2 linked regions of the Drosophila melanogaster genome follow. The protein of the gene in region 1 interacts with the protein of each later gene in a pairwise test. Each region holds a gene or a part of one and is shown in the gene's direction. Other genes may lie near its edges.

Region 1 (8,458 bases):
GTTAAATCTTTGGTTGACCATACAGTTTTACAGCCTCAAAAACGGAAGACCAACAATGTAAATTTAATTATGCTGTTTCATGATACTGACGAATTACTATCAAGACTTTATTATTAATTCAAAAGATAACCAATAAAAAAATATAAAAAAAATAAATATAAATACAATATTTTCGAATGACTTTTTTATAATCGTTTAAATTAACGATCATTCTAACTACTCAATTGATTTCCAAAACTACTTAATTATGTTTATATTTTCTGATTTTTATAAGTGGAAGACTTTGGAATGCAAATTTTAAAACACGTCCATTGAGATATGAAATTTCGTATTTAGGCATTCATTTCGTTGTTGTGGGGAAGAAAGTCTTGTTTTATTCTGAGAATTCCTTAACTGGACCAAGCTCACCCAAAATTTACAATCGTTTATTGACCTCTTTAAAATAATATTTTTTTATATAATATTATATTTGACTGCTAATCGATGGGAAAATTTTTTATCGAATTTAACAACATATGGCATTTGATATTAGGACAACTATTTTTATTGTTGTGTTTTTATTGTCACAAAATTTAGTGGTATTTTTCATAAATAATTTTTTCACAACATTTTATTGCCAAAAATCCTAAATATTTTATTTTGCTCATAGCCCTATTAGAACTAATAACTTGCAATTTAAGAATGGTATGTATTTAAACTTGATACAATTAGCAATTTATTTAAGCAATAATTTAAGCCGGAAGCTCACTTTCAGCTTGTTGATTTTTTATGCACAGTTAAGCTTTAGTTGCATCTATGCACTTTAAATAACCTCAAATGACAATGCACATTGAAGGGCCAAAAAGCGAAAGTTTGTAATGCATTTATAATATTGTAGCTAAAAAGGAAATACCTTACCAAGTATTGGATGCATTTAAAATGGCAGTGCGGTGTTCCCTAGAGATTGCGTAAGTTTACGCTAAAGTTGAAGCCCAAATTCAAACCCTGCGTTGCAAAAGAGCTTAAAGTTTGTCAATTTAGCTTATCTTGTCGTTGTGTCGAAAGCTTGAAGGATGTTCTGAGCCAGGATACCAAGCAATTGGAATCCGCTGAAAGCTCCTACCCGTCAATTGACCCACATATTTCATTTCAGTTATATATTTGAGTCTGGTCGTTAGTTTTGCGTAAGGGCCAGAGAAAAAACTCGCCGAGAAAGACTCGCAGGCGTGCCAAATTGATGCTATCAGTAATGAATAATAATGCCCAATAAGCGAGTCGGCTGATAATGACGAGATGGCCCATTACATAAACGAAAGCACATTGCACCGCAGCTCCCAGCCAGTCCAGCTTATTAGCGTTAATTGTTGGCGACACTTTTATTTCCACTTCCATTTTCAATTTCATTTTCACATCTATTTCCATTTTGCTTTATTCCGCCGCCCGCCTTTGAATCGAAATAATGATTCGAACTTGGCAAGTGTCTGTCCCCCTTAACGCTTAACGAGATTGCAGTTCGGCTGACTCTCCTCCGCTGGCCTTTGGTCATCGGCCATTGGCCATTGGCCATCGGACACCGGCCACCGGCTGATAAATGAGTCTGGGCCAGACATTATGCAATATTGGGGCCCTAAGGCGATTGGGACCGGTACCCGAAATAGCCACCGAAATACGCTGCCATTCAAATGCAGTGATGCCCCAATAGTTTGAAATATCTCTTTCATAAATATCTCTTTTATAAACATTAATGATTTGTTAATATAATATCATAGCTTATGCCAAAAATCATAGAAATATTTTGTTGTTCAGATGCAATGCAAACAAAGAGGTTTTCAAATTTGTTAATTTATCTTCTTGCAACGTATTTCACTTCTTGAAAACAGATACAATTTTCCGTGTAGTTCGTTATTGTTGTTAAAAGAAAGGACTTTGCAGTGCCAGAGATTGTTATAAAAGGGTTAAAAAAGCCCAATTTGCTGAAATAGAACCATCAAATGGGAATCGCAACAATCGAATACAAAATGAAATGAAATGAAACAGGACGTGTTGCCCAAAGGACTGGTTTATTTGCTTGTTGATGCATTCGAAGAATGCCATTTTGGGGAAAAGGATGAACCAGGGAAGAGAATAAACTAGTGACATCCACAACGGATGCGGCAATCGGATCGATAAATCAGGCTTGTTTATGGCAACAGCAGCGGCCATAACCGTAACTCCCGCCGCCGGCAATGGTGCGGTGCCCAGTTCGAAAAACGAGTGGAGTGGAGTCGAGTCGAGTGGAGGGTTTCGGTTTGTCCATGGGGCCATGACCTGCCTCAAGTGCTTTGCGTAACAACAACAACACCACGCAGCAGCAGCAGCAGCAACAACAAATGCGGCAGGGAGTGTGGAATTTTGTTGTTTTTGGCTTTCCCAGCCAGTCACGATCGCCGCAATTTTCTTGTCACTGTCACCCGAAATACGACAAAAAAACAAAAACCGCTCGTCGCACGCAACAAAGCAAAGCAGCAACAGCAGCAACATCGGCTTAAAAGACAAATAAACAAAGCGGCTGCCACAGTAAAAACTGCAACTGCACGAACAGCAGCAGTAACAGTAACAGAAACAGTAACAACAATAGTAAAGAGGAATACAAAAAAAAAAAAAAAATGGTTGCAGCAGCAACAACAGAAATTGGCGATTCGCCGCTGCTGATAAGAACTAAATCGTCTGAGATCAATGCGAATATGGAATACCCTAATCAGGGAGTTAGGATATGTTTAAACAACTATGGATTTTTAAATAAAAATAATAATATTTTTTAAAAAACAAACCATGCTGCCAAAAAAATTCAAGTCGCAAAGTGAAATAAATGCAAATCATAAGAAAAGTTTTAAATTAAACCAAATCACAAATAAAATAGGATCATAAACTTAATAATACTAAGAATATATATTATTGGGTTATATACATAATTATTATAAAGAATTTATATATTATATATTTTATATTATAATTATATATTATTTAAATATCTTGTTTGTTAAATATATATAATACTTTATTTAATTTCAACTGAATATACATTTGATTATGATACTCAATATTTGTTAGAGTAGAATTATAAGGATTTTACTATTTGAAGTTCTTAAGCATATCGGAATGTACAAAGCTATTCACTGGACTGTGCTACCCTTTTTCGAGTAGTGTACAAATGGTTTGCCCGCAAAAACAGCAAACAGCCGCAACGAGCGACAATTTAACGAGGCTGCCGCGCTGCCGTTGGATATTGCTGCTGCTGCGGCTGCTGTTGCTGTTGCTGCTGCGTGGTGCTGCTGTTGCTGCGGTGTCCCCCCAGCAGCAACATTTTGGCCTCTGCCGCGCTCGCCGTCGCAGTCGCTGCCGTCGACGTCGACGTCCACTTATTCGGGCGGCGGTTTCCATTTCATTTTTAAGCTAACGCTCGTCGCGTTCAGCGTTTTAATATTTAATTGTCGTCGATCGCGAGCGGTTGTCATTGCTCCACTGGAATAATAGTTGAATTGCCATTGCCATTGGATTGCGATTGCCACGGCTGTACCGTTACCGTTAATCGTGAAGTGATCCGGGAATTCGCCAAGAGAATACCACACACAATACCATACCTGAAACGCGTTGCAGCACCCTTTTTTGTTCAGTGTTCATCAGTTTTTTGTTCAGTGTGCAGTTTGACATCCACAGTGGCCATGATTCCCTGGATTTGCCTAAGCGCGGCCATTGTGCTCATCCTGTGCCCCCTTCACACATCCTCGCGCAGCTACAGCAACGGTCTGATCTTCTACGAACTGAAGACCCACCGACCCTACCTACCGCCCACGGTCAGTGTGTCCAGGGGCCGAAATCTGGCCAGCGTCAAGTACTCCGAAAAGGGGTCCATCTGGTCCACCTTTGGCCAGCCCTGCGAGTGCAGCGGACCCACCTGCGGATGTTGCGCCGGTCTCAAGGTCGATCAGTACCGATTCGATCAGAAAGGTGAGAAAGCCCATGCTTCGTTAGCTATTAATGGGGAATAGAATATTGCAATACTTTAAATGTTTAGTAGATTATTGATTAGGAGATTAGTAATATGAAACAGTGTGACATTCGAGACATTATGAAAATTACAACCTTAGTTATAATTTCAAATTCAGAATGTTAAAAATATTTCTCATTTCTTTAGAAAGAAATGGTTTTGTATTGATGTATATTATTATGGTTTGAAACCAACAAGAACATTGATTACGAATAACATGTATTATATCTACGCGAGAAAGGATATGCATTTAGTAGATTTTTTGCACAGTGCACTTGTTATTTATTTGGTGAAGAAAACCATTAATGGGTTTTCATTTTCAGCATGCTATTTAGCCTTAATATCTTAATATACACTAATGGGCACTAGGTTAGTAATCGCCGTAGGATCAATCCGTCGGCCATATGCTTATGCATAAATTGGGATCTTTGCCGTCACTTAGCCTGGTCGGAATCGTGGCTCCTGGCCTGCGGGTGGTGGCCACACATATTTGGCTGCGATTTCGGCTGGATTCCAGGCCGATTTCCTTGGCCAAGAAACCGATCTTGGCCGCGGGTTGGCGGCGCATGCCGGAGACTACAATGCGATCGGTGGTTTGGCTTGGTTTCCATTTCGCTCCGCTTCGCTTCGTGACATGCCAGCATTTGCCAATCAAAATGCCACAAATTGTTGGCGCTTCCAGCGGTGGCCACCCCCTCATCGCCTCATCCACCATCCACCATTCAGCACCCAGCACCCACCATTTGCCTGGGATTCGTCGACAGTTTGCCACCCGCCACTTTCATTCATTGAATCGAATCGTTTCATTGTTGTGCCTATCTGTAATTTTGACTCAACGTTTTCTTTCCATTTTGCCTCTGTTTGCAGTGTGCGCCAACGTGAGCTTCGTGCCGCATCTGGAGGAGGCCCAACTGGAGGTCTTTCTTAATGGCAGGCCCTCCTCGAAATACGGAATCTCGGTGCGCAATCCGGCGCCCTTCTGCATTCCCGTCATGATGGGTGTACCGATGGCCATGTGCGTCCAAATGACCGACGTCACAGTGGTTGGGAACAACCTAAACATGTGCATGGACTTTGTGGTTCGGATGGCCACCACCGATCTCTTCGAGATGCATTTCCAGTGCATGCGAATGGGTCTGGATGGTCTGCAGTATGTGGACAAGAATGGCAAGCCCGTACTGCCGATGGGAGATGGTCAGAGCGACGATCCGGAGGAGTACGAGTACGCCGAGCTGGAGGATCAACCGGAAGAGTATCCTTATCAAGAGGATGTCAAGGAGGAGGCTCCATCCCAGGGCTATCAACCAGATAACAATCAGCAGCAGAAGAATACAACACTGACCACTGATCAGGTTAAAGAGGATGAGATGGAGAAGAATCAATCAATGGGCTATCAACCTCTCATCATAAATAATCAAGCACAGAAGATTGAGCCTCAATTAAATCTAGAAGAATTAATCTACCAACCTCAAAAGAATCAAACTCTAAGCGAGCCAGCTAAACAGGATCAGGTAGATAAGGAGGAGGATACACAAAATGAAGAATCAGGTTATCAAACACTAGGTCAAATTAAGGTTGAAGACCAAAAAGAAGAAAAGCCTGCAGAAAAGCAGCCAGAGATTCAACAGCCTTCAGAAAATACACTGGATGAAGATGAACCGATGGGCTATCAACCCCCGATGGCGATGGTTCCCCAAAAAGTTCCAGAAGAACAGCCTCTAGCTGAGGATCTTCAAGAAGAGGAGGAGAAGACTTTAGAGAGCGAGGGAGATCACCAGGAGGACGAAGAACTTGAAGATGTGGAGCCCCTGCCAATCGAAAGTGAAATGCTAATGGCCAGCGATCAGGCAGAAGAAGCACCTTTCGAAGAAGAGGCCGAAGAAATGCCAGCTGAAGACGCAAAAGAGACGGCAGCAGAGGCGGCGGAGAAAGAGAAAGAGACGGGGACGGAGTCTGAGCAAGAGACACCTGACAATGACAATGGTTATGGCGAGAGTGGCCTGAGGCCAAGTCAGGTAATTGAAACAATTACCAATTCAATAAAAGCCACTGAAGCGCCCACAACAACAACAACAACAGCCACAATAACGAAAATACCAACAACAACGACAAAAATACCGACAACAGCTACGACATTTAACAAGCCAAACATTGTTATTGATGGCACAAACAATGGGGAAAAGACAGTAGAAGCAGAGGGTGAGAAGACAGTAGAAGAGCCAGAGAAAGAGGGCGAGACATCTGAAGAAGGGGAGGCAGAAGACGACGAAGAAGACTCGACAACAGTGGCTGTTGAAATGGAAAATGATAGTGATAATGAGATAAACGTGGACGATGATGATGAGGTGGAGAAAAAAAACCGGGTGAAGGAACCCCCAAGCCAGGTGAAGAAGGAGGAGAAGAAACAGGAAGAGGGAGCGGAAGAAAAGTCCGAAGAGGGCGTGCAGAAAGAGGAGATAGAGCCGGAGAAAGAGGTGAAGGCAAGTCATGAAGAAAAGGTCAATCCAAATGACACAGCCGCTGAAGAAGATGAAGATAACGAAGAAGAAGAAGATGGGGAGGATGAAGAAGGAGAGGAAGATGAAGACGACGAGGAGGAAGAAGATGAGGAGGACGATGAAAAGGAAGAAGGCGAGGTAGACGCTGCTGAAGAATCCGCTGAAGCAGCAAAGCCCGAAGAAAGCGCTGTGAAAATTGATGAAAATGGCAATGGCTATGAAAATGCCTATGCAAATGCGAATGAAAATGCAAGTGGAAATGCATATGGAAATGCAAATGCGACGCCGGCAGCGAAGTCGTTGTCCCGACGTCGCCGTCTGCGCACCCGCCGCCTGCCGCGCCCCCTGAGGAAACACCATTAGGCCCCACTCCTTAGCTTAATTTATTGTAATTCGTAATTGTTAATGAATTGTTAATGCTAAACGTTGAAGCCTGTTAATTAATACGTATTTATTGTATTTATTGAAACCAACTCAAAGCCAAACTCAAGCGAAATAAACGTTAATTGTAATTTAATCACTGAGATTCCAAGTTAACAACAGGTATTTTTCGAGGCTTGCCTGGTTGAAATTTAAGCCACAACTCCTGGTATTTTAATATCTGTATTCGGTGGTTAAGCTGCCCTGAAGCCAAATGCAAAATCGAAAGCTGCTAATAATAGTTTTTTCACTGATCTCTACATTATTCCCATCATTTTGGCTTTGCTCCACCAGTTAAACTTACACTTTTGTTCACTGGTTTCACTTAGTATCTTGCCAAATTCCAGTTGCGTTTGCATGAAATTAGCCGTACAAAATTCAACATGTCATGGACGAGTGGCCTGTACAAGTCCTTGCTCCTTCGGAGCCAGCAATCGCTGGTGCGTCCGGATCTCGCCCTCCTGGACATCCAGATATCGAAGCGGGCCATTGAAACGATGTTCGGTCATCGAAGGGAATTGAGTTTCAATCATTCACATACCGCCGACATCATTGCCAAGAAGTGCGAAGAGCTTTTCAATGCCAACGAATTTGAGAACGCCCTAACCACGCTTTATACGGACGGACGTCCCTTTGGCGGACAGTTTGCCCACGGGCGGTTCGAGATGATCAAGCAAAGGGTGAGGGTCATTGTTAATATCTCACTGTATTTTGTTAATAGATTGCTTAAAAGAAAATAGCTTTTGAAATATCACCTTCCATTAGAGCCTCGCCGTCTTCGAAGACACCTTGGGCGAATCCCTGCGTCCCTTTATGCATCAGCACAGGGACGTCCTGGAGCAAATCAACCGACGCCAGAAGGAGCTGGCCGCCCATGTGTCCCGCCCACTTTGGAAGAAGCTGCGCGACCAACAGCAGTGCGACGTCCAGAGTATCATTATCAAGGAGCGGCCGCAGTTGACCTTACTGGAAAAGGCCCGCCGGCGGGCGAGTGAGAGTCTGTACAACCACAACTACTTGGGCCGCAGCGCCGTCGATATCGCGCTGCTGCGTCAACTGCGCAGCGACCGCAACTTCCTCGATCCCCTGAGGCTTGCCACCACGCCCCCAATGCGCAAGCTGACCAGAAGGCAGTTCACGATTGTGCGACGGCTTATGGTGAGTCCAATTCAGGGGAAAACACCACTTGGCAATTGAACTTTTTCAGGGAAAACCATCTCTGAGTCGAGAACAAAGTTTAAAGAGGGAATACTCTAAATATAATATAAATTGATTAACAGTTGCAGTTAAACAATTTGCAAACATGTCATCTATAAACATGTTTAGTAAGATTAAATGAACTTTTAAGAGAATCCTAGACTATATACTTACTTGCTTTCTAATTTTACTAAACATATTACTTTCGTGTAAATCAAGAGCTTTACTAGCATTTCCCACCACTTCTCATGAATTCACTTAGAAAATGCTTCAAGCCCGAAATCCGTTGTACAACCGGCGGTACGTGCAACAACGGCACGGTCCGATTGCGGACCAG
Region 2 (7,379 bases), about 17 Mb from region 1:
GACCTGTATTCAGAGATAGGAATTCAAATTTTTTGCCATTTTTCGCAAATTTTAATGATGGTACCCCTTATCAAAAATGCGAAAATGTGTTAAAATTTTTGTTTTTGATTATAATAAAAATAGTGACACTGATAGTTAGCTATGTTTATTGGCAGTACAAAACAGTCTTCATTTAAGCGGTTATAACTTTTTTGGCCAGGTTATGCACAAAACCCCGTTTGTAAATATCCGATTTTTGCCATTTTTATTTTATTTATTCGGAATCTGTATTTTCTCAATAGCATTAAAAATAACTGTCCAAGAGCGAAATGCCATACCTCATTGAATTCGTAACAAAATTCCCCATCGACCTGCATTTAGAAATAGAAATTCAGATTTTTTGCCATTTTTCGCAAATTTTAATGATGGTACCCCTTATCAAAAAATGCGAAAATGTGTTAAAATTTTTGTTTTTGATTATAATAAAAATAGTGACACTGATAGTTAGCTATGTTTATTGGCAGTACAAAACAGTCTTCATTTAAGCGGTTTTTGGCGATTTTTATTTTGTTTATTTTTGCTAAAAAAGAATCTGTATTTTCATTTCATTTTAGCGGTGATATCTTTTTTGACCAAGTTATGGATGGAACCCCTTATGTTAATATCCGGTTTTTGGCAATATTCGTATTATTTTTTTTTGTGGAATGCCATACCTCGTTGAAATTGTAAAAAAAAATATCCCATCGACCTACATTAAAAAGTGGAAATTAAATTTTTTTGGCATTTTTCAACAAGATTTGCTACGCAGAAAAAAATTATTCCGAAATTTAAAGAAAATGTCTTAGCCTTTAGAACTAAGTGTCTACCGGAATATATAATTTCATTTCTGAATCTTTTATCAAAACTACTATAAATTTTCAGCTGTTATGTAAATTGATTTGCTATTTTATTAGGGTCCAGGATAGAAGACATTCCGCGTTTTGTCGATTATATTTTGTGGAATTCATTTCTTTTCGACTAATATTCTCCTTAAAAAAATCAAAACATAAATCTTTTTGTCTTGTTCTGTTTTTAATCTTATTATTATTATTTATTTCGTAAAAATGCAGTGTAAAACAAAAAACACATTAGAACAGTTTTATTTTTAAAATTGATGATTAAAAAAAAAACAATGAAAGTATGTTTTCATGTCCTATTATTTTTCATTTAATTTTCCGACTGTTACTATGGCAACCGAAATTATATATAATTAAAAAACTGGTGTATAGTAATTCATGTAAAGTCGATTTCTGGCAAACATTTATTGTAATGCATATATATATATATGCAAGGATGAGTATCATATCCCTTTTCCAATATTTGTCTCTTCCTTCATCACCCCCTTTTAAAAAGTCCTTACATGATAGTTGCTAAAGGATGAAAAGCCATTTGTCCTTGAACCGATGTCACCTGAGTCGCAACGCTTTTATTTCAGGAAAACCATGTTTAGGGGGTCGAGATTTGGCCGCCGCTAAACAGGTCTCTTTGAGCGACTTACCAACCGGCCGTTTGACGCATTCATCAAAGTAGCACTTCTCAACGTTATGCAGAAATTCCACCAGTAGTCGGTCGTCACCGCCATTGGGTCCCACGGAGTACTCGCACTCATAGTTGTGCTTCTTGAGATCTCGCACACAGCAGTCGATGAACTCTGCATTGGCAGAAAACCAGTCGTTGTGACGCTCAAGGGGAATACCCAAACGAGTCCTTACTACTCCAGTCAACCAGGTGTCATCGATCCAAAAAAATGACATCCTCTCCGCCTCCGCCACAATCCTCTCGGCTGTTGGCACGTTGGTCACGTAAAGCCAGCCCGACAAATAGGCGGGATATAAAGCCTGAGGATACTCCTTTTTGCTAACGTACCACTTATTGGCTCGAAGGCGAATGGGGGGCTTGGCATCCAGTACGTAGCCAGATAACAAAGTACTTGATGTGGCCAGTCCAGGTTCGCGCACCTCGAGGGTCTCTAAATACCTGCGCAGATGAAACACATCGTAAATGATGTCATCATCCAGTTTAATGATAAACTTGGCCTGCTTTTTGCACTCCTCAGAGACCCACTTTAATCCCATTACGTGTTTGTAGCTCAGATTGCGATAGTCCTCGATGAAATTCCCCTGGAGAAGGTCCCCGAAACGATTCTGTTCGCTGGCCAGTTGATCCTGGCTTATAAAATGCTCTCTTGAAGGCAGGGCTGCCAAGAGAAAAACTCTTCGCAGGCCCATTTCTTCCAGTTTGCTTTGGGGAATTGCCTGTCGGTGAGCTGATCGCAAGGCATCGTGTCCGGCATACGAAGTAACTATTAAAACGGCTAATCGGGAATTACAAAAATGATTAAGGATTCCTTACAATGGTTGATTAAAGCAAAGAACTTACCTAAGAGTTCTCTTTTTGCCTTTCGACACACATTACTGGCCAGCAAGTAGTGGAAGTCCGTGAGATTCAGAAGATTACTTAACGGAGTATTAGGGTTAGATGGATTCCTCTTCGTTTCGAGTGGTAAGTGCAGCAAGAAACCGTTTTTGCGGGACTGGCTTGAATCCCTCAAGTGATTCGAAAAGTAACAGAGACTCAGTAGGACGATCAAAAGAAGCGACAAAATAATCGGAAGCAATCTTCGTCCGCGCATGCGCATTTTTCTTACATTCTACGTGGGATTCCCCTCGCACTATGCCGTCTGTAAGTATATGTGGCTTGGTCTATCTTGCTAAACTTTAATAAACACAATGCCTAAAACGATTATATATTAAGAAAAAAATAAATTGAGATGCGTTAATAACAATTGTTTTCACGCCTTTGCCAGTGCTGCCCTATCAAATTAGCGATAGCTAAATTGGGAACCGTGTCACCCTATTTTCTTTTAGCGATTACACATTCCAAGCAGCGTTGCCATGTCCGATAAACATCGATTTTTGTGCCATGCCAGCTCTAGTTGTTGTGTTGTTGCTGTTCTTTACGGATAACAGTTTTCAGCGCGAAGTGCGTGCGTGTGCGTGCGTCAAAAACGCAGTTCTGTATGTGTGTTCGTGTGCTTTTCTTATATTTTTCTAAAGTAATGTTATTGAACTGGTTGCCTATGTAAAGAGAAAGCCACGAAAACTACAAGCATTTGTAAATTCGTTGAAAAATTTGCAGCTTACCAATTCCAAAATCTCAAAACAGTGACTGCAACACCAACAAAAACGCAGTAGCAGCGACGTCGGCAGAGAAACAACAAGAACAACAATCTTGGCGTTGAAGCGATGTGAGAGAGTGTAATATTTGACAGCATGTGAGCTAATCAGCAAAGCAGCGATTTCTGCAAACATTTTGAGCTTCTTAAGGGCAATTAATGAACGAAAAAGTGGAAAACTATAGTAAATATATAGTAAGAAATATAGTGAGAAATTTTGTATTTTTACGTTTTGTTCTCTAGAAATTAAAAAAAAGAGAGGATACAAAAAATTTAGCTGTGACCACCAAGAAACGCAGTCGACTTCGCTGCCGGCAGAACGAAGAAAAAGAAAGAGCATAATATAAAGCAGAAAAACCAGATTTTAATGTCTAAATTTTAAAGATTAAATGTTTTATTTTGCCTTATGTTTGCCCATTTATACTCAAAAATATCGGTGTCAAAATAGTTGCAAATTCAGAACAGCAAAGCAACAACAAAGGCTGCTGCTTGTACGACCGATGCACAAATCTTGTCGGGAAAAATAGGGTTCTGAAAGCGAAATTATGTTTTTATTGGCTTAAAGATGGAAAATTGACTCCTGAAATCGAAAATCAAAGAAACTAATACGCAAAGTAATCAAATAGTGACAATTAAGGCAAGATGACGGACTTTGTTGAGCTGATGAACAGCATGTCCAGTACATTCAATAGCGACTGTGCTACTTCAACAGCGGAGGGTGGTACTTTGCTAAATCTGAACTTGGCGGAAGACAAAACCCTCAAGTGGCGTAATTTGGCCAATAACCAGTTCGCTAGTAAAGAAAAGAAGCACAAGGACAAGGAGGAGGAGGAGCGCAAGGAGGCAAGGAATCAAGAGGAAATCGAAGACATCAAAGCACTTTTGGCAGATGTTGTCGATGCGGCCGCTGTCAAGCTGGAAGAAGAAGAAGCGCAGAATGCAGAAAAAGTCGAACCACATACAAAATGCGAAATAGAGGAAGAAGGTAGGAAGGAAATGGAGTACGATCAAGATGTCGCAAAACAAGACTCCGAAATGGAAAAAAAGCAGAATGGCAAAGCAACATCCATAACAGTAAAGATGGAAAGCAACGAGCGTGCAGAGAAACACGCAACGGAAATTGCAACGACGTCGACAGAGAGATGGGAAAACGAAAGCTTTAAAACTGAGCAGCAAAATAAAAAAGCTGCTGAGAAAGAAGAAGAACCCATACTAGCAGCAACACAAAAATTGGAAGCAAATGCAGAACCACTGACAACAACAAGAATTGAGGTAGCAGTAGCATCTCCACTTGTTGTTAGTTCTGCTAGCGTTAAACTCGCTGCTGACGCAACCAACCAAATGCGAGCAGCGACGTCGGCAGGAGCAGCGACATTAGCTGATAAAAATGTAAGTAAATGTGTGTGTGTTTGTGTGTATCAGCTTCGAAATTCTTGCTTTTTCTTTTATATTTTAATTTATTTAGATGTTAGCCCTTGACTGCTGAGTTCTTTTCTTTCTAGTGTTTCACGTGTAGTTTAAATCAAATACATACGTAGTTATGATTGATGTACACATATTTATATACATAAATATCCTAATGTATGGCATTGTTTTGGTTCATACCAATCATAAAAAAGGTTAGGGATTTATTTCATTTCTCTACTTTTTGTATGTCATACAAATTAAAGACGTATTATGTTGGAGAAGTTACTATTTGTTAATTCATTTAGAAGTTAGCCCTTGACTGCTGAGTTCTTTTCTTTCTAGTGTTTCACGTGTAGTTTTAATCAAATACATACGTACATATGATTGATGTACGCATATTTATATACATAAATATTCTAATGTATGTCATTGTTTTTGTTCAGCTGTTTGTTTAATATGGTTAGGTCATAAAAAGGTTAGATTACAATTGTTAGTTTGTCATAATTCCAGAGGGATTTGAATACAAGAAAGACTTGAAGTAATTGCATCCAATTTTAAGAGGGTTAAGCCATCCATTCATTCATCCTCTTGGTCAACAGACCTCTTATGTTTGGTAGAAACAGTTGTCTAGGCAACCGATGAAGGCATTTGAAGCTTTCTTTGAGGACTGGTACTTCTAGTTAGTATGTCTCTATATTATATAATATATAATATTATCCTGAGTACTTCTTTAGTCGGCACATTCAATGAGTCTCTGTACTTTGCAGGTACAAGTTTCGCCCGGTGGAACGCGACGGTCTCGAAGAACACCCAGACCCATAGACACGCCCACTTCAGTTACTGATGAACATGTTCAGGTGGAGAATAAAAAATTTGGAAAGTCGGAGCAGTATACGGATTGTAGTAGCCATCTGGAGAGGTTCACACTGGACGATAATACTGCTATTGTCAGACTGCAGTTGAAAAGTGAACCGGACAAACCGTCATTAACTGCATTATCTCCTGAGGAAAACTCGGCTCCTGCTCCGAAGCGAGGAAGGGGTCGAGCCAGGAAAATAAGACCCGATGCCGAGGTGGAAACCAGTGAGGTTATTTTACCCTGCGAGGATTCATTAGGGGAGAAGAAACCAGGACGCAAAAGGAAACTCCCGGATGAACCGATAGATCAGCAGCAACTAAGCGACCTTGTCGTGGTAAAAACAGAGCAGGAGGAATTGGGTGACGCTCCCTTGGGAGATGTTAAGAGAATGCGACGTAGCGTTCGTTTAGGCAATCGATTACACGCCGATGGAAGCCCTTGGGAGGAGGTAAAGACAGAGGCACTTCACCCGCAGCCTTCTGCAGAACTTTCCTTTGCGGAGGTCACTTCTGAGATCTTGCCACTAGCTGTCTTAGATGAGAAGACCCCACCCAAAAAGCGAGGGCGGAAGGCAAAAACGCCCTGTGTGAAGTTAGAATCTGAAACATCCTGCGGGCTACCGTTTGCTAATGGCAACAAGAAAACGAATTCCTCTGGTGGATGCGAACTTCAGCTGCCCAAGCGTTCAAAAAGAAGAATAAAACCAACGCCAAAGATATTAGAAAATGACGAACTGCGCTGTGAGTTCGAAACGAAGCACATTGAGCGTATGACCCAGTGGGAGAGTGCTGCAGCAGTAGATGGGGATTTTGAAACGCCAACAACAGGCGGTAATGGGTCCAATTCCTCGACCTCAAGGCAAAAGAGCGACAAGTCCGACGGGAGCAACTTCGAAGGTGGTCCAGGACATCCTGCAGGCACAAGTGCCATAAAGAAAAGACTATTTTCAAAGTCCCAGCGGGACATTGAGAACTATGGCGCAGCAATGCTAGCCAAAAGTAAGTTACCTCCGTGTCCGGATGTCGAACAATTTCTAAACGACATCAAGGCATCTCGAATTAACGCGAATCGGTCACCAGAAGAAAGGAAATTGAACAAAAAACAGCAACGAAAACTGGCCAAACAAAAGGAAAAGCACCTGAAGCATTTGGGCCTGCAAAAAAATCACAGAGATGAGCCCTCGGATAACGACAGTTCCAATACGGACAATGAATTCTTTCCTACTACAAGGGTGCAAGTGGGAAAACCAAGTGTTACTTTGAGAGTAAGGAATAGTGTTACCAAGGAGCTTCCCACCACAGCCACTTTGAAATCACGCCGGAATCCAGTCGTGCAGGCAGCCAAACTCACGAGAAGGATAGGTGCAAGAGCCGCCGGTGAAGTTACTGAGGCAGCCCGAGCAAGTGTGCCAATTTCTACACCTGATGCGGAGCAGCTTCACTCGTTGGACACTTCTATTCAAGCTGATGTTACGCCCATAAGAGACTTAGATATGAGGCCCAGCACCTCCAGAGTGTCAAAGTTTATTTGTCTATGTCAGAAGCCTTCCCAGTATTATGCCAGGAATGCCCCGGATTCATCATACTGCTGTGCCATCGATCACATCGACGACCAAAAAATTGGCTGCTGCAACGAGCTGTCCTCAGAGGTTCACAATCTACTCAGACCCAGCCAACGCGTTAGCTATATGATCCTATGCGATGAGCACAAAAAGCGCCTACAATCACACAACTGCTGCGCAGGATGTGGCATATTTTGTACACAGGTAAAGACAGAATTATTATTGTGAACTGCAATCAAATACTTTAATTATATTTCAGGGAAAATTTGTGCTATGCAAGCAGCAGCACTTCTTTCATCCCGATTGTGCCCAGCGATTTATTCTAAGCACTTCGTACGAGAAGGAACTCGGCGATGAGG

Evidence for each region. Proteins that work in one complex are often made in the same cells at the same time.
Region 2: the proteins of CG8568 (region 1) and G9a interact in a two-hybrid assay, tested with the Drosophila melanogaster proteins (one large-scale study listed by BioGRID).

The regions. Positions count from the first base shown.
Region 1 is NC_004354.4:17,447,551-17,456,008, reverse strand, and holds CG8568 (uncharacterized protein), read left to right. Parts: upstream 1-3,465; 5' UTR 3,466-3,680; coding exon 3,681-3,966; intron 3,967-4,873; coding exon 4,874-6,867; 3' UTR 6,868-7,019; downstream 7,020-8,458. Other genes in the region: p-cup (presidents-cup), read left to right, coding at 7,308-7,604, 7,690-8,082, 8,384-8,458.
Region 2 is NC_004354.4:243,015-250,393, forward strand, and holds the start of G9a (G9a), read left to right. Parts: upstream 1-2,963; 5' UTR 2,964-3,835; coding exon 3,836-4,582; intron 4,583-5,367; coding exon 5,368-7,224; intron 7,225-7,279; coding exon 7,280-7,379. Other genes in the region: CG3038 (uncharacterized protein), read right to left, coding at 1,425-2,332, 2,398-2,656.